Cricetulus griseus: one gene and its partners. The protein of the gene in region 2 purifies or fractionates together with the protein of the main gene of each other region. This does not show direct contact. Links are inferred from orthologs where the notes say so. Each region holds a gene or a part of one and is shown on either strand. Other genes may lie near its edges.

Region 1 (7,845 bases), on a different chromosome or scaffold from region 2:
AGACAGGAGGAGCCAGAGAATCAAGGACAAACATCCTGAGGTACAAAGACGGAAGATCAAGCAAATGAAACACAGCCAAGAGAAGACTGAGGGTTCAAACACAGGGGCAGGTAGACCAACAAGGTGTTAGGAAGAGCTCAGCTTTAGAGCAGGAACTCACCAGGGAAGAACTCTGTGAAGACCTCCTGCATCAGGGCCACAACAAGATTCCGAAGCTGCCGCTCAGCCTCAGACAGCTCCCTCAGTTCTACAAGCTTTACCATCTGTGCCTCTACGTCTGTGGCTTCGGCCAGTGCTTGGGCCAGCTGGTGACTATTTGAGTCCACTCCTTTGGGAGACTTGGAGGCTGGGCTCTGGAACTCCTTCTGCTCCCTCGGCCGGACACGCAGCCCATGTTCCCCCAGCCTGTGCTTGGGCTGTGCTAAGACAGCCTCCCGAGCAGTTATATCTCCCATCTCCACGATGGCAAACACCCCCTGGCAAAACATACAAGAGCAAGGATCATGGTTTGGTAATTGACAGTAGAGGAGAATCTTTAAAATGGGAAACAACCAATATACTGGAAGTATTACTTGCTGTTTTTGTAAAAGGTTTTTGTAATATACTTAGATGAGTAATCTCCACTCTTATCCCATACATTTTTATTCCTGGCTGCCAGTTAAAATCTCATCTGTTGCCAGGCATTGGTGGTGTACACCTTTAATCCCAGCACTTGGGAGGCAGAGGCAGGCGGATATCTGTAAGTTCGAGGCCAGCCTGGTCTTCAGAGCAAATTCCGGGGCAGCCACCACTGCCCAGCTCTAGCTCTTTTAACAATAAGAATCCATGGCAGGGGGGGTCCATATGTGGAATTCTGGAGAGATGGATCAGTGGTTAAGAGCACTGCTGCTCTTGCAGAGGACCTGGAATTCAGTTCCCAACACCGACATCAGACAGTCTGAAACCAACCAGCTGCAGATTCATACAATCCAGTGCCCTCTGCTGGCCTCAGCAGGCACCTGTACTCAACATATATACATAACCATACAGAAAACCTTAAGAAAAAAAAAGATCCATGCTGGGGTAAGGTGCTTGCCACCAAACCTGACCACATGAGTTCAGTCCCCTGAGCACAGGACAGACTCCTACACACTGTCCTCTGATTCCCACATGTGCACCATGGGCCATGCATAAAATAAAAAATTTTGTGCACACATAAAAATTTTGCCGGGCATTGGTGGCGCATGCCTTTAATCCCAGCACTTGGGAGGCAGAGGCAGGCGGATATCTGAGTTCAAGGCCAGCCTGATCTCCAGAGCGAGTGCCAGGATAGGCTCCGAAGCTACACAGAGAAACCCTGTCTCGAAAAACCATATATATATATATATATATATATATATTTTTTTTTTTTTTTTTTTTTTTTTTTTTTTTTTTTTTTTTTTTTTTTAGAATCCATGTTGGCTCAGAATGCAGCTCACTGGTACAGAAGTTGTCTACTGTGTAGGAAGCCTTAGATAAAAGCCTTAGCACCAAACTATAACAAATTTTGTAAAAACTCTGCTACTGCTAATAAACTCTAATAAAGCCTGTCTTCAAGGAACTTACCATCTAGAATTAGCAACAATATGACAGCTAAGGCTATTATGATTTGGATGAGCTGAACAGAGCTGAATTAAATTTTTTTTTTTTTTTGAGACAGGGTTTTTCTGTGTAGCTTTGCAGACCAGGCCTGCCTCTGCCTCCCGAGTGCTGGGATTAAAGGCCTGTGCCACAACTGCCAGTGAGATAATTTTTTTTTTAAGGTAAAACATTAGCAGGAGCAAGGCAAACATGAGTGCTTATGGGTAAAAGTGCATGTCCTTTTATATCATCTGTTCCTATAAAAAGGCAGTCTATAAAGTAATTAAGAAAATAGTGCCAGGCTGGAGAGATGGCCGAGAGGTTAAGAGCACTGGCTGCTCTTACAGAGGTCCTGAATTCAATTCCCAGCAACCACATGGTAGCTCACAATGAGATCTGGTGCCCTCTTTTGGCATGCAGACATACACGCAGGCAGAACACTGTGTACATATAGTCAACTACTTTTCAACATAATAGTGAGGAAAGAGCGGGCTTATAGATAAATGATGCTAGGACAACTGGACAGTCATAAGCAAAACAATGTGGACTTTTATGTCATATCATATACACACAATTGCAGTTGTCTCACCAGTACACAAGAAGTGATTGATAAAGGCTATGAGGATGGTTTGGAGATAGACAGAGGCCACTTTCCTAGCATTCAAAAGTCCCATGTGCAATCCCCTAGAACTGAAGGAAAAAAAAAAAAGGGGGGGGGGAGGGATGGCAGTTAGCAGGCAATAGGTCAAGAGCCTTGGCCAAGCCTTTTTTTTTTTACTATTTTTTTTTTTTATTTAGTATACAGTCTTCTGCCCGCATGCCAACAGGGGGTACCAGATCTCATTCAAGGTGGTTGTGAGCCACCATGTGGTTGCTGGGAATTTAACTCAGGACCTCTGGAAGAGCAGTCAGTGCTCTTAACCGCTGAGCCATCTCTCCAGCCCCCACGAGCCTTGGCCAAGCCTTTAACTCCAGCACTCAAGAGGCAGAGGCAGGTGTATCTCTGTGAATCCCAGGTCAGCCTGGTCTACAGAGCGAGTTCTAGGACAGGTTCCAAAGCAATACAGAGAAACCCTGTCTCGAAAAAAACAAACAAAAAAGACACAATGTTTGGTAAACAAGTCCTCCATAATTAACTCTTGTGAATGGATTAAATCCAAGGTGGCAGAAGCTCCCAAAACTAAGCTATTCCAAGTTCTGAAATGTCTACCAAGGATGAGCCACATTAGGAAACTGCCAAAACAGGCTGCTGGTTTCTCTCTTTTATATAAGGCAAATCCATCTGACAAATTAATCCCAAAGACACTCACTCTACCTTGTCCTTGTCCATGACAACATTGGCCACAGGGCCAAAAGTCTGGAAATACTCCGAAAGCTGAGCAGCACCCACATCCCTGGGAAAGCCACTGACAAACACACTTCGAAGTCCCTGGGCCCTTCTGGTAGCTCGTAGTTGTACAAGATCCCGGTGTTTCCGGCCTTTCAAGTGGGCATCTAGGCTGGGTCCTGTAGAGACAAGTGTGCGTGTGACATAAGCATATAAAGTAACTCTTTGTATACCTGTCCCCTTGCTCTCTTCTCTATACATAGAAACCCTGTTCCTTCAAAGACAAAGGGTAACATTTGGACAGAGTTTGATATTCTTCCCCTTTGTCCACACAGTGCATTCTCTAAGAGATTTCCAAGAGGGAGGGCTGCAGTGCAGGTAGTTCTTAAGCCAATGGTATGTGTTAAGCAGAGCGACATCTGCCCACTGTAGAGGAATTAACAAGCAACTTGTCCAAGGTCATATGTAGAAGTAAATAAATTAGGGCCCTGACTAATCCTCAGAGATAAATAGCAGGTATTCCAAATGTATCCTTTTCCCATATATGATGGAAATGATCTCGCCTACCACATAGGTATCATTCACAAACAGCTCTGGCCATCTGGTATGTAGTAAGTGTGGGAAATTAGCTATTAGTATTATTTTATCATCAGCTGCTTAGTGCCATGAAAGTACAGGGACAAGGCACTGTCCTAAATTCCTGGCTTGCCCTGATGGGGCAGGGGGAGGGGAGAAGGGGAAATGTCATTCACAAAGAAAATACCAGAAGACCCTGTTTAGGGGAGATCACATTCTAGACATCAAAAGTAGGATCTGAGATGTCACTAAGTGTCTTTTGGTGTCACAAAATCTCAGTCTGTCTTTCCAAACCCTTTTCCTCACTGGCACCTTCTGCATTCACTCAGGCCACCATGTTTCACTCATCCTCGCCTCTGGAGAAATCCTCCCCATTGGGAGTCTCCAATTGAACTACTGCCTTCTCTGTGATGCTTCAGCTCTGTAAACATACCCATGGTGTACTGAAACTGTCTCAGTGCAGACAGTGAATTCCTGAATCCCTCCCTTCCTGATTCCAGAGACCAGTAAAGCACCAGGCACAGAGCTGATGTTTTAAAACATGTGATGTTTAAAACATCACAAAGGTGATGTTTTAAAAGGAATAGTGAAAGTTTCACTATGGAGCTTTTGCATTGTGAGAAGAACCGGTGAGAATTTCCCCACTCTCCGAATGCCCTGGGACGTACTGAGTGAAAACAGAGGTGGATGACCCTAGTGCCAGCAAAAACTATAACCTAAATAACTCTTTCACTAGCACCTAAAAAGTGAAAGCCTGCAACCTCCCCCTTCCCTCACTAGCCACCGCTTACGGTTGGCTGTAGTAATGTCGCAGAGACAGCAGCGAAAGCGACCACGAGGCAGCGATACGACATCCGAATCCTCCGCCTCCATAGCGATTCTCCGGTATGGGCCGCCTACAACCTCTCCCGCCACCAGTCACTACCAGAACTCACAGCTCAAAATCGCAATGTGTGGGGAAGCCACTTCCGCCAGTGCTGCAGGAAGTGACGCTTGTGTCCGGCGCCAGCATATTCGTCCAGAAACCGTGTTCTTAGGGTTAAGGGTTCCTATTAAGTCAGTTTTAAGAAAGGCCGCCCACCGACGACGCTTATTGGTCTAGGGTTAACTAGTTGGCATGCTCCGTTCCATTCCAGCGTTGATTGGCCCGAAGAATTGTGAATATTCATTAAGCAGCCACAAAGATGGGCTTGCTTCTTGACAGCACAGCTCTTTCTTTGCCAAGTGGTGGCATGCGATCTGCCTTCACTTCACCCCAGACCTGCACCTCAATCTTTTATTTCACCCTGCGAGTAGAAGCGGAGGGTGGGTGTTTCCAATCCTTTGCCTTGTGGAGCTCAGGTACTCCCACATCCTCAGGTCAGTTCCTTTCTGTACAACTGGATCCTCGACAAAACAGTTTTCAGCGCTGTCCGCCCCCTACTCCCTTTCACTTGGACTCAATGAGACCAACAGCAGATGGCTACTATCCCAGTCAAAGTCTGCTCAGCAGTTGTAGCCTTAATGAAGTATATTAACGAGGCCTATTTCAAGGCAGTACAATGAAGAACAGACTACAGTGCTAAGAGATACACATTTATTCAAGGAGGTGGGAGGGGAAGTGCTACAGATCCCCAGTCAGGCACATGAGTCAGTCTCGTAGGTTCAGGAACAAGAGAGGATATGAGAGCTGACCACAGTGACGATAATGAAATGGAAAGGCTATCAGGTGGGTTCACCAGCTTGTTCTGTGATTATCAGGAAACCAGTCTGTGGCCTTGGCTGAGCCATGAGGCCCTTCTATCTCTAAAGTGCCTAAGGAGAATTGGTTGAACTAACCAACTGTTCTAAGGTGTCCCTCCTATTGTACCCTGCTCAGGTATCTGATCCTTACACCAAACCAAAAAAGCAGATGAAATCAAAACAGAAAACAGTACTACTGCACACTCAACAGTGGGGGTAGGTGCTAACACTAGCTGTACAAATCCAGCAGTCTGTATATATATACCACTAAGCTTGAACTGTAAAGTACTGCAGTACCACACCCACAAACACTAAAGTGAAATGCATCTTTGTTTTCAAGACAGGGCTTCTTTGTGTAGCCCTGGCTCTCCTGGAACTCCTTCTACTGTAGATCAAATTGGCCTTGAATTTAAGAGATCTGCCTGCCTCTGACTCCCAAGTGCTGAGATTAAAGGTATGTGTCAACCACCCCCACCTGGTGAGATGCATCTGACCCTGGCTGCTAGAATGCTTAAATGAAAGTGAAGGGCTGAGGATGTAGGTGGTGGCAATAGTAGAGCACGTGAGTAGCATACGCCAGACCCTGGGATCAATTTCTCAGCACCAAAAAGGAGGGAGAGTAAAAGTGGCTAACAGGAAGACATTCTAACCCCCATCTGTGCAGAGTCAAAGCCATTAAAGAGCTCTGAATGAATCTAGACCAAGATGCTGCTTGGACTCCAGCCCCAGTGGGAGAAGCCCGAGTCCCACAAGGATAGTGGCACAAACCACCCCACAGCCCGGCTGCATGTCTCATAACGCTGCTCCTAGAACAAGCGCCATCTGTACCTCTTTCATTGTCTTTTGTCCTCTATTTTCCCTCTCAAAGACACCCCCAACACACACACCACACACCACACACACCACACACCGCACACACCACACACCGCACACACCACACACCGCACACACCACACACCGCACACACCACACACCACACACCGCACGCGCGCAGCAGCAGCAGCAGCAGCAGAGAACAGCTGAGCCTGAGGGCTGAAGAAAACAGCTTTTTATTCTTCACTATAAGAACCAATTACAGAATCGAGGTTAAAAAACGGACAAAAAGATCTTTATTTCTGAGAATTGGCATATAAAAGGCAGAGGGGGGAAGGGGAGGGAAGAAAGAGCGAGCATGGGCTGGGGTTGGATGCCACCTTAGAGCCCTCAAACTAATTAGCAAAGTCCGGACACCGGACAGTAAGAGAAACCCCCAATTAGAAAATAAAGAGAAAAAAAAAAAGGTAGACATGGCAGTGCACTCTCCCTTCCCCCTGCCAGGTACCACCACCTGACATGTTTACTCTTCCCCTCCTCCATCCCTTTTACAAAGGGAGGTAAAATTTTTAAAAAATTTAAAAAACCCTCCCCCCCCCCAGCCCAGCTGTCCAAAACAACTGTGGGTCCCAACCCCCAAATAGGGTAGGTAGACACACAGGCAAGTTCCTGTAGGCTCCCATCACAGGCATGGAGAAGCCCAAAAAGGGGGAGTTACTGGCAATCACCCCAGAGGGTGTCCAAGTCCTCCAAGGACACACCAGTTTCAACCCTCCCTCGATCCTTGAGGTTTGTATGCCTTGGGCACCTACCCCTCTACCTCTCATCCCATCTCCCTCCCCTAAGATGCTCAATCCTCCAGAACAATGGGCTCATTGGTGCTGGCAGGATGTGAGGGTGCTGGCAGAGGAACTGGGGGCCGAACTGCCATCAGTGTTGGCTTCACCTTCAAGGGTAGGTTGGGCCTTCGGGCAGCTCGGCGCATTTCCAGGTGAGTTAGAGCCTTCCTTAAAGCCCTGGTCAAAAAGAGCAAAAGAGGAACAAGTAGGGGCTCCACAGTACACTCTACAATTTTGACACCCGCACTCTTTTCTGTGCTATCTTTCTCAGATACCCCTACTTCCAATGCACCCAACTTGGATTATCAGTCTCTGAGCCCCTCCCATAGTAGACTGCTCCCTACCTGGTATCTTTTGTAGCCACAAATACCACAGGATTGGGAGCATCAGCAGGGTTTAGTTTCTGACGCTTGGCTGCTGGCTGTGAGCTTGAACGAATCCCTGAGGCCAGAGGCCTTCCATTGGCAGAGAAGGGGACCCCTGCCCCTGCCATCTGGAAAAGGATAGGGCAACATAATGAAAGCGCTGCCTCCCTCAGACTCCTATCAGAAACAAAAGCCCACCCCATTCAGCTTTCCCAACTCACAGTTTCATAAGAACGTTTCACCATAATGCCCCCCAGGCCTCGGTTCTGGGTCAGCTGGTTCCTGTTGATTGGTGTCTTGGTGCCCCGAGGTGTTTTTGGTTTCAGAGGTGCCTGGGCCACTAACAGTGAAGGGGGGGAGGAATAGAAAACGTTCACACCTTCTCTTGCCTGTACAGTTTTCCTTACCATTCTTTCTTCCCTCTTTACCCTGGCCCAGCAATTTCCCTTGGTCATCAGACCAGTAGTAATGGAGGAAAAGGCCTACAAGCTACTTAACACATATTTCAAAAACAACATTTGATTATGTTTCCAGATCATAAAATACTTATGAAAAGTCACTGCTATGCCAAAAATGGGCCTCAATAGTAAAACACTTGCCCAGA
Region 2 (7,051 bases):
TCTTAGATAGCCATGATCCAGAACAAAGTAAAAATAAAATGAAACAGGATTCAAGAATTGGCTCACATGCTCAATAAAGTGCTTGCTATGAACACAAGAGGACTTGAACCCAGGTTCCCAGCACTCATGTACAAGTTCAGTATATAATGTCCATATCCCCAGCCCAGGGACAGGCAGATCCCTGGGGCTCACGGGCCAGTCAGTCTAGGTGAAGTGATAATTCAGTAAGAGACCCTGTTTCAAAATAATGTGGAGAGCAATTGGGGAAAGTAGACATCTAATATTGGCCTCTGGCCTCCATGTGCATTTCCATACTGAACTGCACATGCACACGTGCCCACATAAACACATACACACAAACCCACACACAATTACACACACCCCAGCACCCCAAAACCAAAGTGAACACATATCCTGAGAGTTTCCCGTATATGTGTTAATATGTACAAAACAAAGATAAGACTAATAACATTTACCAAGTTCTTACCAAATGCACGGCAAATGTTAGCTGCTGTCCCAACCATACAGATAAAGGCACAGAGGTAGGTGGCCTACCTCAGCGAGACCATAGAACTAAGAAAGCAAAGCTGGTCTAAGGCATGAAAATATATTCTGGGCTTATTAAATTCCAAAGCTCCAGTGGAAGAACATGATAGACACTACATATCATGGATCTCTGGAGACCTTTGTGAGTAGTAAGAACTGCCAAACAGCTCCATCAAAGCGTACAAGTAGGTAGAGCCATGACATCTGCCTCATGAGAAGCAGAAGAAGAGGATAGAGGGAAAGATCTCTGAGACAAAGACAATTTTTCTTTCTGAACCCATGCACAATTTAGGAAAACGTTATTGTAAAATGAAACTTACCAACAAGCTGTGGCTAGCATTTTAGAATTGGGACTAAAGTGACAATAGGAGATTGGCCGATCATCTCCAATCTGACTGCAGAAATTATTCAAAGACTAAAAAACAAAAACAACAAAAAAGTGATCATTTAAAAGGCTAATCTAAGATTTTTTGGCTTTTCCACTTTTGGGAAAATATGGGGGCTGAAGGGGATGGGAGTGAAAAGGAGGGGGCAGCAGTTATACCTGTCAGTTTAATTCACCTCAAAACTTCTTCATGCTTTGCTGATATTAGTTGATACTAATGTTATTGAAGAATGGAATCAAGGCTTATCTGGAATGTTACTTGTTTATCATAGCCTCATCACCTCCACAAGCCCTAGGGTTTCTGTGTAGCCCTGGATGTCCTGGAACTCACTCTGTAAACCAGGCTAGACTCAATCTCACAGAGATCCACCTGCCTCTGCCTCCTGAGTGCTGGGATTAAAGTTGTGCACCACCACTGTCAGTGTACCTCATTAGCTTTTATGTGAGCTAAACACAAAAAACCAGAGAAAAGCAAAGCACAGCTTGACCTACTAAAAGGGAGCAGTCAAGAGCCAAAGAAACATTTGTCTCTGTGAGCACAAACACTGAATGTTCTTGTCACCACAGCTGACAGTGCCTTCCTCCTACATCACTGACCTACCAGGTAGCATGTGGGTAACTGCCTTTACCTTCCTATGGGTGGGGCCAAAACAGAATCTCTAATAACGTAAGAGACTGGACAACAGTGAAGAGCATCTTACCCGGAGAGATTTATGCAGCTCTTGCATCTGGGAGGTTCTGGTTGTCTCAGGAATCTCCTTATGGAGACGGGCCTCCTCCAAGCGTTTCATTGCCCTGTGACCCATAAACATCATCATTAAGGAGCTATCAACAAGGGTCTGTACACTACTTCTAAATCACATACAATAAACACCACCATCATAGAGTCTATCCCCAGTCCCTGAAACGACAGACTTCTTTCTTCTGGACCTCTGCTTACCTGGGGAGTGAATAATTAGCAATCCACAGTCTGGCCACCTTTAGGCTATTTGGCCCTTCATGGTACCAGGTTTGCTGATACTGAATAGGAAATAACAGGAGAAATGTTAGGTCTGAAGCACACAGACTCTCCCCACGGCTGTTCTTAATTGTAATTGCTCACAAAGAAAGTGAATTGTAACAGAATGAAGCAGCCACATGTCCTTTCTATTAATTACCTTTTGTTTTCTTTAAAAACATTTATTTAACTATGTGTTATGTGTCTATGTGGGGGTATGTACATATGCACGAAGACGCCATGGAGGCCAGAAGATGGCATCAGATTGCTTAGCAGTGGTGGGCTGCTGGACTCTTGAAGAGCAGTGCACACTCTTAAGGGCAGAGCAATCTCTGCAGCCCCTACTTTTTTCTTTGATGTCTTACTAGTTTCTGGTTTCTTACTGAGTCACATTGAGTGCCTTCTTGAATGGAGAATTTACAGCACCATTCACAGTTGTTTAAGAATTACCAATTCCTGCCATCAACCATTCCAGAATGGCAGAACCTCTAGATACCTCTCCTCATCCTAGCACAGCATGGCACTGGAAAGAGCTAGTCTCCAATTTCTTCACATTTTACCTCTTCTTTTGACTTCTTAGATTTCTCATCATCTTTTTTTGTCTTTTTTAAGGCATCAGTTCCAACCACTGAGAGAATATTTCTTAACCTGTAACAAAAAAACGTCAGAAATCAATATGGATGAAATAAGACTGTTAAAAGGTTCAGTAGGACCCCATCACCACTTGTGAGAGAGATGTGTCAAGATCCCTGCACAAGAATGCCTACAACTGCAGGGAGCAATGAACCTTACCTATACTGTGTGTCTTTCCCAGCTCACATATTATGATAAAGTTTAATTCATAAATTAGGCAAGGTAAAATGCTAGTAACAAAAAACCAGATTTTTAAAATTATATGAACAGGGTCTGTTTTCTTTCTCACTCTCAAAATATCTTATTCTACTGCACACTAATGGAAAGGCAGCATAGACAGCAAGGACACAGAAGACAAAGGGACACAGCTGGATGGTGTGGGATTTCAGTACATCACTCAGAATGGTGTGCAATTTAAAATTCATCAAGTGTTTACTTCTGGCATTTGCCTAGTCAGTATTTCGGGGCCTCATATGATTATGGATGAGAGAAACCAAGGAAAAAAGCAAGACCACAAGCAAAGGGGAAGGCTGTGTACCCTTTATTCTTCCCTCTCAGACCCCCTCCACTCCTCTTTATTTGAAGGCTTTCTAAATGCTGCTATCAGCAATTATTCTCTTCCATTTAGAGTCAACTGGTATCTATACACAGCTGTCACTTAGTCTCTAAGGACAGCTGGAATCCACTTAGTGCCATGCTGAGCAAGGCACTAATTCAGGGGCTAAGTATATTTAATGACTAAGAATAGTTGCAAGCTGTGCATGGTGATGCACTCGAGAGGCAGAGGCAGGTGGATCTCTGAGTTCCAGGCCAGTGTGGTCTATAGAGTGAGTTCTAGGACAGCTAGGGCTAGATAGAACAATCTTGTCTTGAAGAACAGGTGGGGAAAAATAATTCTGAAGGAACTAGCCTTGAAGGCACACACCTTTAACCCCAGCATTTGGAGGTAGAGGTAGGTGGCTTGTCCTGAGTTCTAGGCTAGCCTGGTCTACAAAGTGAGTTCCAGGCCAGTCAGTGCCACAGGTTGAGATCCTGTTTCAATAAAATAAAAATTAAAAGCCAGGTGTGGTGGTGAGCTCCAGCCAGCCAAGGCTATATAGTGAGTCCCTGACTGAAAACAACAATAACAAAACTAAAACTAAAGAATAATTCTGAAGAGACTACAGAACACAGTCCATTATACCAGCATTAGACAGCAGTGAGCAGAATGTGAAATAATATGGAAGAAGTATGGAATCTAGGCTTGGGAGGAGTGTGGAGCAGGTATCAGGGAAGGCTTTACAGAAAAGGCGTTGTCAAGTGCTCATTCAGGCCAAAGAGTCAAAACAGAAAAATGACAGTTGAGGCAGAGGGTTAAAGAAATGTAAAGTCAGGAAAACAGACTGAGCTTAGACCCACAAATGGTTCAGTAGAGCTGGAATATGGGATACAGGAGGAGGCTTGGTGACTGCCAAAACTGGTATTCAAGTGGGGGCTGGGTCACCAGAGCAATTCACACTACACATAGGAGGGTCTGCAATGAGAGTGATATGGCAACAGGTGGGAGAGTGAGAGTGTCATGGCAACAGGTGGGAGAGTGAGAGTGCCATGGCAACAGGCAGGAGAAGAAGAATAAAGGCAGAAAACCAGACTTTAGGATCACAGCAAGCCCAAGCCACTGAGGTGGCCTGAGTTAAAGTAGTGGCAGTTGGGACTCAAGGCATTCATCTTGATAAAGGACAACAGACATGGCAGATGAAAGAGACAAACAGTAAATTAAATATACCGAGTCAGGCTGGTGAGGTGGATCAGCAGGTAAAATGCCTACTGCCAAGCCTGCTGACTTGAGACAGAACACTGTGACACATAGTGAGAGAGAACCAACTCTCACAAGTTGTTCTGTGACCTCCACTCCTGTATGAAGGCATGTACATGTCCACACACACACAAATAAATAGGATTTTAAAACGTATCCTTTAAAGAATGCTTCCTGCTCTTCCAGAGGACCCAAGTTCAGTTCCCAGAATCCACACCAGGCAGCTCACAAGTGCCTCTAACTCTAGCTCCAGGGGATGACACCCTCTTCTGGACTCCCAGGGTACCAGAACTCATGTGCACAATACTACACACAGATGCACACGGATTTACATAATCAAAAATACATCTTAGAAAACAACAAACCCCCAGCATTTCAAACAAACTTCACAGGAGAGCAGGAAAGGGTTTGATAGAACACATACCAGAACCTTGTCATTAACAAAAAAAGTGTAACTATAAAGGATACCTTTCTCTTCGTTCAGCAGGGCCTTCTCCAAAAAGTGTGATAGGTTCTCCCAAGGCTCGAAGGCAAGCCTTGACCTCTGAGTCATCCGTGGAAACATTGATTTGCCGGGCTCTCTTTCTTCTTTCAAACTCTGCCAAGACTTCTGCCTGCCGCTCACTGATGTGCTCCTCAATTTCAAATACTTCCCCTATGCAAAGGACAGGCAACATGGGGGAAAGAAACAATCAGTCTCTGTATCCTAGAATATAGCTTCTTATATTGGATAGAGTGCCATAAGGTATGTAACTGTGGGGCTGTTGAAGAATTCAGCAATATTGAAGGGTTTCTGAAGATGCAGTGACCAACAATTAATCCAAAATCAAATTCAAAACAAATCAGGGTTGCTTTTGGCAGGGCCTGTGGGCCTCATCATGAATCTTTGCTGCAACCTTGGTTTTGAGCATGTGCAACTCTGCAATGTACTTACAGTCTGTCATGCCATGCGACACTAAGGAACACTACCTCAAAAGCCTGTTATGAATTGTAATATCCCTTTTTTGGCTTTTTTGAGACAGGGTTTCTCTGTGTAGCCTTGGCTGTCCTGAAACTCACTTTGTAGACTAGACTGGCTTCGAATTCACAGAGATCCGCCTGAGTGCTGGGATTAAAGGTGTGAGCCTGGCCAAATTTCCACATTTTTACAAAGTTTGCTTTTATAGAGACATGATTCAGCTACGGGAAAAAAAAGATTTAATTTCCTCAGCATCAAGTATCAAATAGTTTTATCTCTCACTTATACTGTATTAAAATGTTTGATTATTTAAAATTGTTGCTTGGCCAAAACAGAAAAGAAGGATGGTGAAGAGCTCAGTGTGGCAGTGCATGCCTATAATATCTGCACATGGGAGGAGGCAAGAAGACCAGGAGATCAATGTCAGACTTGGCTACACAGTGACTTTCAGGACAACATGGGCCATACAGACCTTGTCAGAAAGAAAGGAAGGGCCAACAACAAAAAAAAACTCACTATCTGAGTTGCTGATTTAAATAAATAAATGAATGAATGAATGAATGAATGAATGTACCATGAAAAACATTTAAAATGCTCCATGTCTTGCAATATTAAATATTCAGGCAAGATTTAATTCTTTATTAATAAATATGTCTGAAGTGTAAATCCAATTAATCTTAATCAATAAAACCCAGGAGCCAGATAGTGGGGTAAAAGCTGGAAGATCAGAGAACTAGCAGTCCCCTTCCTCTGTCCAAAAGGGCTCAGATCTTGTCTCTACTCCACCTTATTACAGCCTGTCTCCACCTCCTGAGTGGTGTGTAGACAGGATCAGCTCAAGCTATGCAACCTAGGATGCTCCCTGTCCTTGTGACCTTCCTGCCTTCAGGACATGAGTGCTAGGATGACAGGTGTGTGCCATCATGCCAGGCAAGTACTCATCACTAAACTTTACCTTTCTGTGCTAATCTAATTGCTTATGACAAATATGCATAACTTTATTTTTAAAATATAAAACTCTTAAGCTGGGCATGGTGGCTCCCATCTGTTATTCAGTACAAGGAGGGCACAGTAGAAAGACTGCCACAACTTCTAGGCCAGCTTGAGCTATAGTGGAGATCTTGTCTCAAAAACCAAAATTAATCAATACATTTCTTGACGGTAATATAAAGAGACAAACCTCAACAGTATACAAGGGAAAAAATGTAGGCTATAAAACAATTTACACATCATGGTACCATTTATAGAAGAAATACATCCAATTCACAATATAGATTTTCTACCTCATAGAGACACATGTTGATTTTTTAAAATCTTTTAAAATTACTGTCCCTTCATACTAAAAAACATTATTTTAATCTAGGTTTGAAAAAAAAATATAACTAGAAAGCTGGGCAATGGTGGTGCACGCCTTTAATCCCAGCATTCAGGAGCAGTCCAGGGCTACACAGAGAAACCCTGTCTTGAAAGGTAAAGACACAAAGAAACAAACTAGAAAAGTAAAGGAGAGAATACTATAAACAGCTTGAGTCATGCATCAATGCCAGAACTACTCTACATCTCCCAAAGACAAATACAACTGATGAATCAAAACACCCACTGAAGTTTTCAAAGATCATCAGTAACTTGTATCAGGAACTGTATGAAATATAAGAAAAACACGCTCTGGATAATGCCAAGAAGCGAAAGCCAAAGACTCCATGGTAAGAACAGAAGAGTACGGATGTGTGCATGAGC
Region 3 (7,646 bases), on a different chromosome or scaffold from region 2:
TTTTTAAGTCCTAGGTTCCATCCCTTTCATCGCATTCAAAAATAAAAAATAAAGGACAGTAGGAGAAAACCAGTAAAATCCAAATAAAATATGAAGCCTAGGTAATAGTAACATACCATCCATCCAAAATACAAACAAAGATGGAAGTAAGTACTTGGGTTGTTGTGGTGGTGCACACCTTTAATCCCAGAACTCCAAGCAGAAGCAGGCAGATCTCTAGATTTGAGGTCAGCCTGGTTTTTTACACAGTAAGTTCCAGGCCAGCCAGGGATACACAGAGAAACTGTATTTTTAAAAAAGGGTATACATTCCATGGTCATACCACCCTGAATGCTGTATCCAACCTAAGCAGGGCTGGGCCTGGTTAGTGCCTGGATGGGAGAACTACAAAGAACTCTGGAGAAGGTCTAAAGGGGCTCCAAAGTGGTAGTTGTTCCCCAGAGTAGGTGTATACTCATTTCCTTTATCAAATGACCAAACTGAAGTGGCTTAACACAGATTTATTAGCTCATAAGTCTAGAGGTTACAAGTCCAAAGTTGATTTCACTGGGTTATCACTGTTGCACTGCACTTGTCTGGCTACATGCAGCCCTGACACACACTCCTCTCTTCCATCTTTCAGATGGAGTCCTGTGCTCTCGTGCTGGGAGTCTCAGTTCCTTTTCCAGCATAACCCAGTGATTACAATGGTCTCAACCCAACAATCAAAGGTAATCTCCCAGTTTCAAAAATTCTCAATTTTGCTCAGCTTTGTGGCTTACACCTTTAATCCCAACCTCCTGGAAGTTTGAGGCCAGTCAGGGATCACAGTGAGACCCCATCTCAAAAAATTAAAAAAAGAAAAAAAAAATCTCAACTTCACGACATCTGCGCAATGTGCTTTCCTGTGCCACATAAAGCATAAAGTAATATTCATAGGGTCTGGGGTTCAGGGACTGATATTCTGCCCCCTCCTGGATGTCCTCAGTAAGGTACACTCAGAAAGTGTGTGTGGGGGGGGGGATCAGCTCTAGATGGGTCAAATCTGAGGAACCCAAAGAACACCTCGGGGAAGTCCTCCGTGTCTGTCTCACCAAACATTGTGAACACTCACCCAGGCTACGGACATGACTGGATTTCACTCATCTCTAGACACCAACTTTTCACTTCTAAGTATTTCTGAAAGCAAGTCCATCCAATACCACCTTACAACTAACATTAAGTAAATGTCTTACCACTAAAAGGCTTCTCAAAGTCAAAGAAACTGTGGTCTCGGCTGGCAATAAACTGGGTTGAAGGTGTCTGATCAAACACCCCCAACCAAGCCAGGGCCCCTATGTAAGTTCCTAGCCTGGCACAGGGTACCCGTCATGTGCAGGTGGCATGGGCGCAGGGCAGCACTGGTACGAGTGAGGCACTGCTTTTACGTGTCTGTCTGCCACTGCACTTGGGGCTCCTGGAAGACCAGTCCAGCAATGTTCCCTCAAGGCACCATCCCTATGCCAGAGATGTGGGAGCCTGGGAAATGTTAAGCTGCAGGGCCTGAATGGCCAAGGAAGAAAAGGCTTTATGCCAAGAAAGGTCAGGGGAAGCAGCTCACTGGTTCTGGGCCAGCTCTCTAATTTACTGTGTGACCTCCAGGAAGTCACTGCCCATCTCTGTGCCTGTATAATGCATGGTGGCCCAAGTAGCTTTGAAGAGCTACTAAGTTCATGCTTCACCTAAGAGCTATGGGAGCTACTGCAAGGGAAGGAAAAATCAGACTAGGGAGAAGAGGAGAACCCATGTTTAAGAGGCCTCCTGAGTGTTCTCAATAGGATCTCAAACTTTTCCAAATGTCCCAGCTGCAAAGGGGTTACTAGGCCAGAGAATCTGAGGTCCTAAAAGCTGAAGATCAGCAAAACAAGGACTTGCAGGGGAGATAGGAGAATAGAGTGATTGAAGGGAATTTGACATGGCAAGTCACAGGACACCTGACGGGCCCTACTACTGCCACCAAGGGCGGAAAACAAACCGAGGTGGTCCAAGACACCAGAGAGAAGCATCTAAGGAAGGAGGAGACACTCAAGGGCCAGGTAAGCCAACAGGAGCTACGGAGGAGCCCTGGCTTCTGGCTACCAGCACATCAAGGCCCTGATGCACACTCAAGGCTTTTATTGGGAAAGGGAAAGTGGCTGAAGAGTAGCTTCCAAGATCCTCACTGCCCAGGGCAGCTGGGGCCTCCTCTGCCAAGTCCAAGAAAAAGGGGCTACCACACTGGGCCCTTAGCAGGTTCACGTGTAGAGATCAAAATCAATGCGCTTGGAATTGTAGAACTGACCACCTGGAGGGTCCAGCTTCCGGCAATAAACACCATCCGGGAAGTAGCCTTCAGTCACCCAGGTCTGTAAGAAGAGAGGACAAAACTTAGGAAAGATGACAGAAGTCGGGATGGACAGACAAGACAGGAGGAAGCCACTGACCTGCATCTGGGCACTGGTGAATGGTCCATACAGCTCAGCATCCCCCGTGTTCTCCCACTTATATTCCCACATCACATCCATTAGACCATCTCCCGCTGACTCTGCTTCTAAGACAACAAAGACGTATCGGCCTTAAGTGCCCAGTCTCCCACTGGCATTGCCTCTCCTGTGTCCTAAAAGCTTACCTCCTTTATGCGCAGGGGTCGGGGTTTCCAGTTCTCCCTCTGTCACTTCGTCAGCAAACATGTCCAGGGAGGGTGGAGGTGTGGGGTCATGGGATCCCTGAGTCCGACACCCCAAACCCTTCAGACACATAGCCAATCGTTCCCTTGTTTCCTGGTATACACCAAGGTTGCCTCGAGCCACCATTTGATCAGCCAACCCAGAGAGCCGGTCTAGGCGCTGTGGGGAATTGGGCCGTCCAGTCCCCTTGCTGTCCCCTTTGCCTCCTCCTCGGGCCCCCAAACGCCTAAGTGCCCCAGCCACTGTCTCTCTTGGCAACAGCAGCTCCAAAAGTCCCTCCAGGAGGGCTTGGGCACTCATCGGAGTCTGACCCAGGCTGTCTTCCTCCTCTGAGTCTGAAACCTGGTGCTTATCAGGTGGCCGCTCCTTGATCTTCACCTATAAGGGAAAGATAATTATTATTTCCTACAAACTTCCACCAGGGCCCAGGCCCAGCACCTGCATTCCCAGGCCTCAGCCAGGACAGCTCCTGGGCCACACCCAGTCAATGTTGTCCAGCCAGCTGTCTCGGATCTGTGCATCCTGGTTCAGGAAGTAGTTGCCATCAGCATCAAAGTGGCCTTCCTCCATCTCTTCCTGCAGGTTGAAGGGTGTGATCCTCACACCCCCCTCACTAGGGAGAGTAGCTGCTTCCTGACCTGCACCAAAGACATGGGGGCCCCATGCTAGGCATGCAAAAAAGAGACAGGCACACTTCCCACCTCCATAATCAGACTTGCCCTCCAACACAGCTAATGTTTTGGGAATAACTCACCTTCTACATCCTCTGAGGCCAGGATATCATACTTGCTGGACCCTTCATCATCATCATCCTCCTCATCACTGTCTAAAGAGTGTTTGCCTTTGAAGCGGCTCCCAGGACCCCCTGCTCCAGCCACAGGGTCCACCAGCTGTGAGTAGAAACCAGCAAATGAGAAAGGCAACCTACTGGCGAGCTTCCCAAATATTCCAGGATCTGTATCCAAACTGAAAACCTACCAAACCCAGCGCACCGGGGCAAACTAACCCTTTCTTTCGCTTCTCAGCTTTCCTTCCTTTTATTTCTCCTCAGTCCTCCACAGACATTAGGAGTCTGACCATCTCACCTTCTTTTTGGGGACACTGATTTCATCTTCATCATCCTCATCTCCCACACCTTGAAAAGTCACTTTCCTCTTTGGCATGACTGGCAGAACACTTCCTCCAGCTGGACCTCGGAAAAGGATACGGAGTAAGAAAATTAGGTAAGGAGAGCCGGCCGCGAGAGCGCTGTGGCACCACATTTTCCTTGGTAAGCGCCAGGTCCCGTTTGAGCGAGGAAGGGTCACTGAACCATCTCAAGCGCTAGCAGGCGGGTCGTCGGGAATTGGTTTGGCAATTCATTCAGAGGCCCTGACGGGCGGATCTCCGCCCCCGCGCGGACCCTGTGCGTACTCCCACGCAGGAAAAAAAGCCAGGCTCCCCTACGTCACCACTCCCCTACCAGTGCGGAGCTACAGGGCTCCCCCAGCTCCCACCCGAGTGCCCACAGAGGCCGGTCGGACCCAAGAGCTGGCGCCCTGGTTGCTTAGGACCCCCAGTTCCACGCAGCGAGCTGCTAGACCATGTCAGAGTCGGCGCACAAATTAGAGAGGAAGCAAATTCGCAGGGATTCGAACAGTCTTACCGGCTGGCGCTCACCGAGGAGCCCGGGGTCAGGCGGGGAAAGAAAGGAAAGATGCTTTCGCCAGTATTACATCCGGGGCACTCGCCTCCATAACCCGGAAGGAGACTGTGGAGACCTCCATAAGGCCGGAAGCTGCTTCACTCCCATCCAAAAGACTGTCGGAACGGGCGGATGTGTACATTTGGTCAAGACAGTCTCCGCAGGAAGTGACGTAAGACCCCAAAAGACTCGCGTGAACTCCTATACCAGCCCCAGCCTTACTTAGCTTGAGGATGGCGGCAAGTGTTTGTTATTCCTCTGAAATGGAGACTCAGGTGAGGACGTGACGCTCTGTCTGCTTAAAGAGGTGCTGAAGGCCGGGCGGTGGTGGCGCACGCCTTTAATCCCAGCACTCGGGAGACAGAGGCAGGCAGATCTCTGTGAGTTCGAAACCAGCCTGGTCTACAGAGCTAGTTCCAGGACAGCCTCCAAAGTCACAAAGAGAAACCTTGCCTCAAAAACCAAAAAAAAAAAGAGGTTCCCAAGTCCTGGATGGAGGGACAAAGGCCGAGCAGAAGCTGTGGGCTCCAGTCTGACTCTCTATATAGGGCTCTTTGCGCCCAACGGAATTCAATAGAAACCCTGCTTTCCAAGCTTGACACAGTCCCAGCGCTCGGGAAATAAGCAGGACTGATTGTCGCGAGATTGAGGCCAATCGGGGATACAACGTGAGATGTCTCTTTAAAAAAAAAAAAAAAAATTCTTGCTTTTCCTGAGTCCTGTTTCTGGCTGTCAATACTTAGGCACTTTCCAAATCTAGCTCCTTTTAGGACCCAGCCCCATGTCTGTTCCCATTCAATTCCTTCTTTCTGCAGGGGAACTATAACAGGAAGTAGCATTGGCATCCGAGCAGTACCCAGCCAGAAGCCCATAATGCCCTACTCTGGGGTACATCCAGTTGCAAGGTGAAGTCTACCCCACCCCTCAGCAAAATGCTAAGGTGATGGAATCCCGCTCCTGCAGAGGTGGAGCCAGGTGAGATCTTCCTGTCTAGTGAAGTCTAGATCTGGAGCTCTTGAGAACAACTCAAAGCCAGAACACCTCCCCCCCAGGCTAGATAGCTCAGGTGATCCTGCAAGAGCTGGATGAGGGCGGCCAGATGGACCACACCTTTCTCTTGCAGGATTTTCTCCATTCTGAATCACCATGAAACTTGGAATTGTGTCCTCAGTTTCTTCCACGGGCACAGAACACAGGTCCTAGCCCAGGAGGGCATCTTGCTACAGAATGCCTGAAACACCAGCTCTGGGCACTATGGTGCATCCCAGAGGGAACTTCCTCTTCTACCTGGAGACCACACACCCCTGAGCCTCATCCTGCTGAACTGCCATGAGGAGCTCCACCTTAGGACCACAAACCCCATGCCTTTACTATCCTGATCCCTGGGGAGAAAGCAAGGGGGAGGGCTGGGGGGCTACAAGCTAGCCATAGAAAACAAGAACTGGATGATTGATTGTGTGCACCTGCTGAGATGAACTGAAGGCAGCCAGTCCACCCTAGAAGCCCAGTACCAGGAACTGCACCAAGCTGCTGACCAAGTAGCTCAATCTGAAGACTGGCTTTACAGCCCTGCTTAGCCTCCCTTTAGCTTCTAGGAGTACACAAGCAAGTTGGAATGTTCTCAGTACTCTGAGCTGTGCAGAGGGTCCCAGGAGGCCCCAAGCAAAGCTGCAGCAGGAGCTGGACCACTATGCTTGTTGATGAGAGATGTAGCAAGGGTCTGGATATACCTGCCAAGATCAGCAGACTGCACCTATTGGGACTTAAGACTTTCTTCCTGCCCCCTTCCCACTCCCTTACCCCAAAGCCCTCTTTAAATAACAAGGCAGGAGACAGATCCAGATATAACAGCAGGTTCTTTTTCTGGTTCCTCAAAGCGCCAAAAAACCACCACTGGGATGGGACCATGACAGAAGAGAATGTAAACATTGGGTTCCACCCCCCGGACTCAAGGGAAGACCCTTACTCAGAGAGGGGCTTGATGGCTGGAAAGGAACAAAATGAAAGACAGGCTTCCTGATGAGGCAGCAGAGAGGCCTGAGCATACAAAGCAAGTGTGTTAGGAGGGAGAGCAGGACATAGATGGGAAGGAAATGGAGGGCATTTCCTTGCATGTCCCCTTAAATAAACTGGAGTACAGGAGCACTGTGAAACACAGAACAGAGCACCCCACCCAGGCCAACCTGACCTTCTGTACATAATTACAACACAAGGATATCCAGGAGAGAAAAAAACAGCCTTGGCCCCCAGAAAGACAGTGGGGTGACAGGCAGGGCCCCAAGACAAGAAAAGGAACCTAGCTCCACCATCTAAGGGAAGCCCACTGGAGTGTAAGAATCTGTAACTGCTAACTGCCATTGCCAAGAGTCACCCTGTGACAAAAGGCAAATTAAGACAGCACCCCAGAAGGAATTCGTAGGAGTGACAGAGACCCAAGCTGGGCCTAATTGGACAAAAGAGTCTCCAGACTTGGTCACTGCTACCCTAGGAAATACAGCTGTCCCATGCACTGTGGCTGTCCTGGCCATGTAGGGATCAGCAGCTGGCAAGGAGTCAGGGGAATCAAGCCACTTTCCTCAGAAAAGGGAAGCCTGCCAAGGGAGCTGGGAAGAATACCCCTGCCAGGCCTGCTCCTGACTGAGGGAAAAGGAAGAGGGCCATGTCATCTAGACCCAGCAAGAGGTCAGAAGTAAGCATCTTGCCGGGCTTCAGCAGCTGACCTGTCCTCGCCATCATGGGGTGCTGGAGGCCCATCTGCCTTTCGACGCAAGGAAAGTTTCCGGCCTTGGCCCTTTTTCTCCTGCTTCTGTCGCTCCTTCTCCTGCTTCTGCTGCTCCTTCTCTTGCTCTTTTTCCCATTTTTGCCGTTCCTTCTCCTGTCTCTGCCGCTCCTTCTCTCGCTCTTTCTCCTGTTTCTGCCGCTCTTTCTCCTGTCTCCGGGTCTCCTTGCTGGTGCCTAGTGGGGTGCTGTTGCCAGTAGGTGAAGGAAGGGATGGATGCAGTCCCTCAGCAGTGACTACAGCTCCAGGGACAACAGGGCCAGCACTAGCCCTGCGAACAGGAGGTGGTGGGGAAGGAGCGCTTCCAGCTGCCCGAGGGCCTCTGCTCTTAAGACTAGGGAGGCTGAGAAGGCTGGAGGACGGGCCCAGGGGTGGCTGCTGCCGCCTGCGCTCCTCATGGATAGCTCGGGAGCCATGTAGTCGCCGTGAGGGCCGATACTGCAGCTCTCCCCTAGTTTCCCGCCACTTCTTTAGCTGGGTTGCATTCTCCCTCTCAATC

Evidence for each region.
Region 1: the proteins of Prpf4 (region 2) and Tut1 purify together in Homo sapiens (co-immunoprecipitation; 3 studies listed by BioGRID and IntAct, counting the BioPlex papers as one, with this or other methods). This does not show direct contact. The link is inferred for Cricetulus griseus from reciprocal best matches to the Homo sapiens genes PRPF4 and TUT1.
Region 3: the proteins of Prpf4 (region 2) and Cd2bp2 purify together in Homo sapiens (affinity purification with mass spectrometry; 3 studies listed by BioGRID and IntAct, with this or other methods). This does not show direct contact. The link is inferred for Cricetulus griseus from reciprocal best matches to the Homo sapiens genes PRPF4 and CD2BP2.

Annotation. Positions count from the first base shown.
Region 1 is NC_048596.1:51,139,095-51,146,939, forward strand, and holds the start of Tut1 (speckle targeted PIP5K1A-regulated poly(A) polymerase), read right to left. Parts: upstream 4,485-7,845; 5' UTR 4,376-4,484; coding exon 4,294-4,375; intron 3,106-4,293; coding exon 2,915-3,105; intron 477-2,914; coding exon 161-476; intron 1-160. Other genes in the region: metastasis-associated protein MTA2, read right to left, coding at 6,888-7,053, 7,221-7,369, 7,463-7,581. UniProt on the Homo sapiens protein: Poly(A) polymerase that creates the 3'-poly(A) tail of specific pre-mRNAs. Localizes to nuclear speckles together with PIP5K1A and mediates polyadenylation of a select set of mRNAs, such as HMOX1.
Region 2 is NC_048595.1:83,454,755-83,461,805, forward strand, and holds part of Prpf4 (U4/U6 small nuclear ribonucleoprotein Prp4), read right to left. Parts: intron 5,012-7,051; coding exon 4,825-5,011; intron 2,577-4,824; coding exon 2,489-2,576; intron 1,952-2,488; coding exon 1,872-1,951; intron 1,727-1,871; coding exon 1,633-1,726; intron 962-1,632; coding exon 867-961; intron 1-866. UniProt on the Homo sapiens protein: Plays a role in pre-mRNA splicing as component of the U4/U6-U5 tri-snRNP complex that is involved in spliceosome assembly, and as component of the precatalytic spliceosome (spliceosome B complex).
Region 3 is NC_048596.1:73,576,474-73,584,119, reverse strand, and holds Cd2bp2 (CD2 antigen cytoplasmic tail-binding protein 2), read right to left. Parts: upstream 4,485-7,646; 5' UTR 4,330-4,484; intron 3,877-4,329; exon of another isoform or gene 3,871-3,876; 5' UTR 3,848-3,870; coding exon 3,770-3,847; intron 3,575-3,769; coding exon 3,439-3,574; intron 3,323-3,438; coding exon 3,165-3,322; intron 3,063-3,164; coding exon 2,627-3,062; intron 2,549-2,626; coding exon 2,442-2,548; intron 2,364-2,441; coding exon 2,253-2,363; 3' UTR 485-2,252; downstream 1-484. Other genes in the region: Tbc1d10b (TBC1 domain family member 10B), read right to left, coding at 7,052-7,646. UniProt on the Homo sapiens protein: Involved in pre-mRNA splicing as component of the U5 snRNP complex that is involved in spliceosome assembly.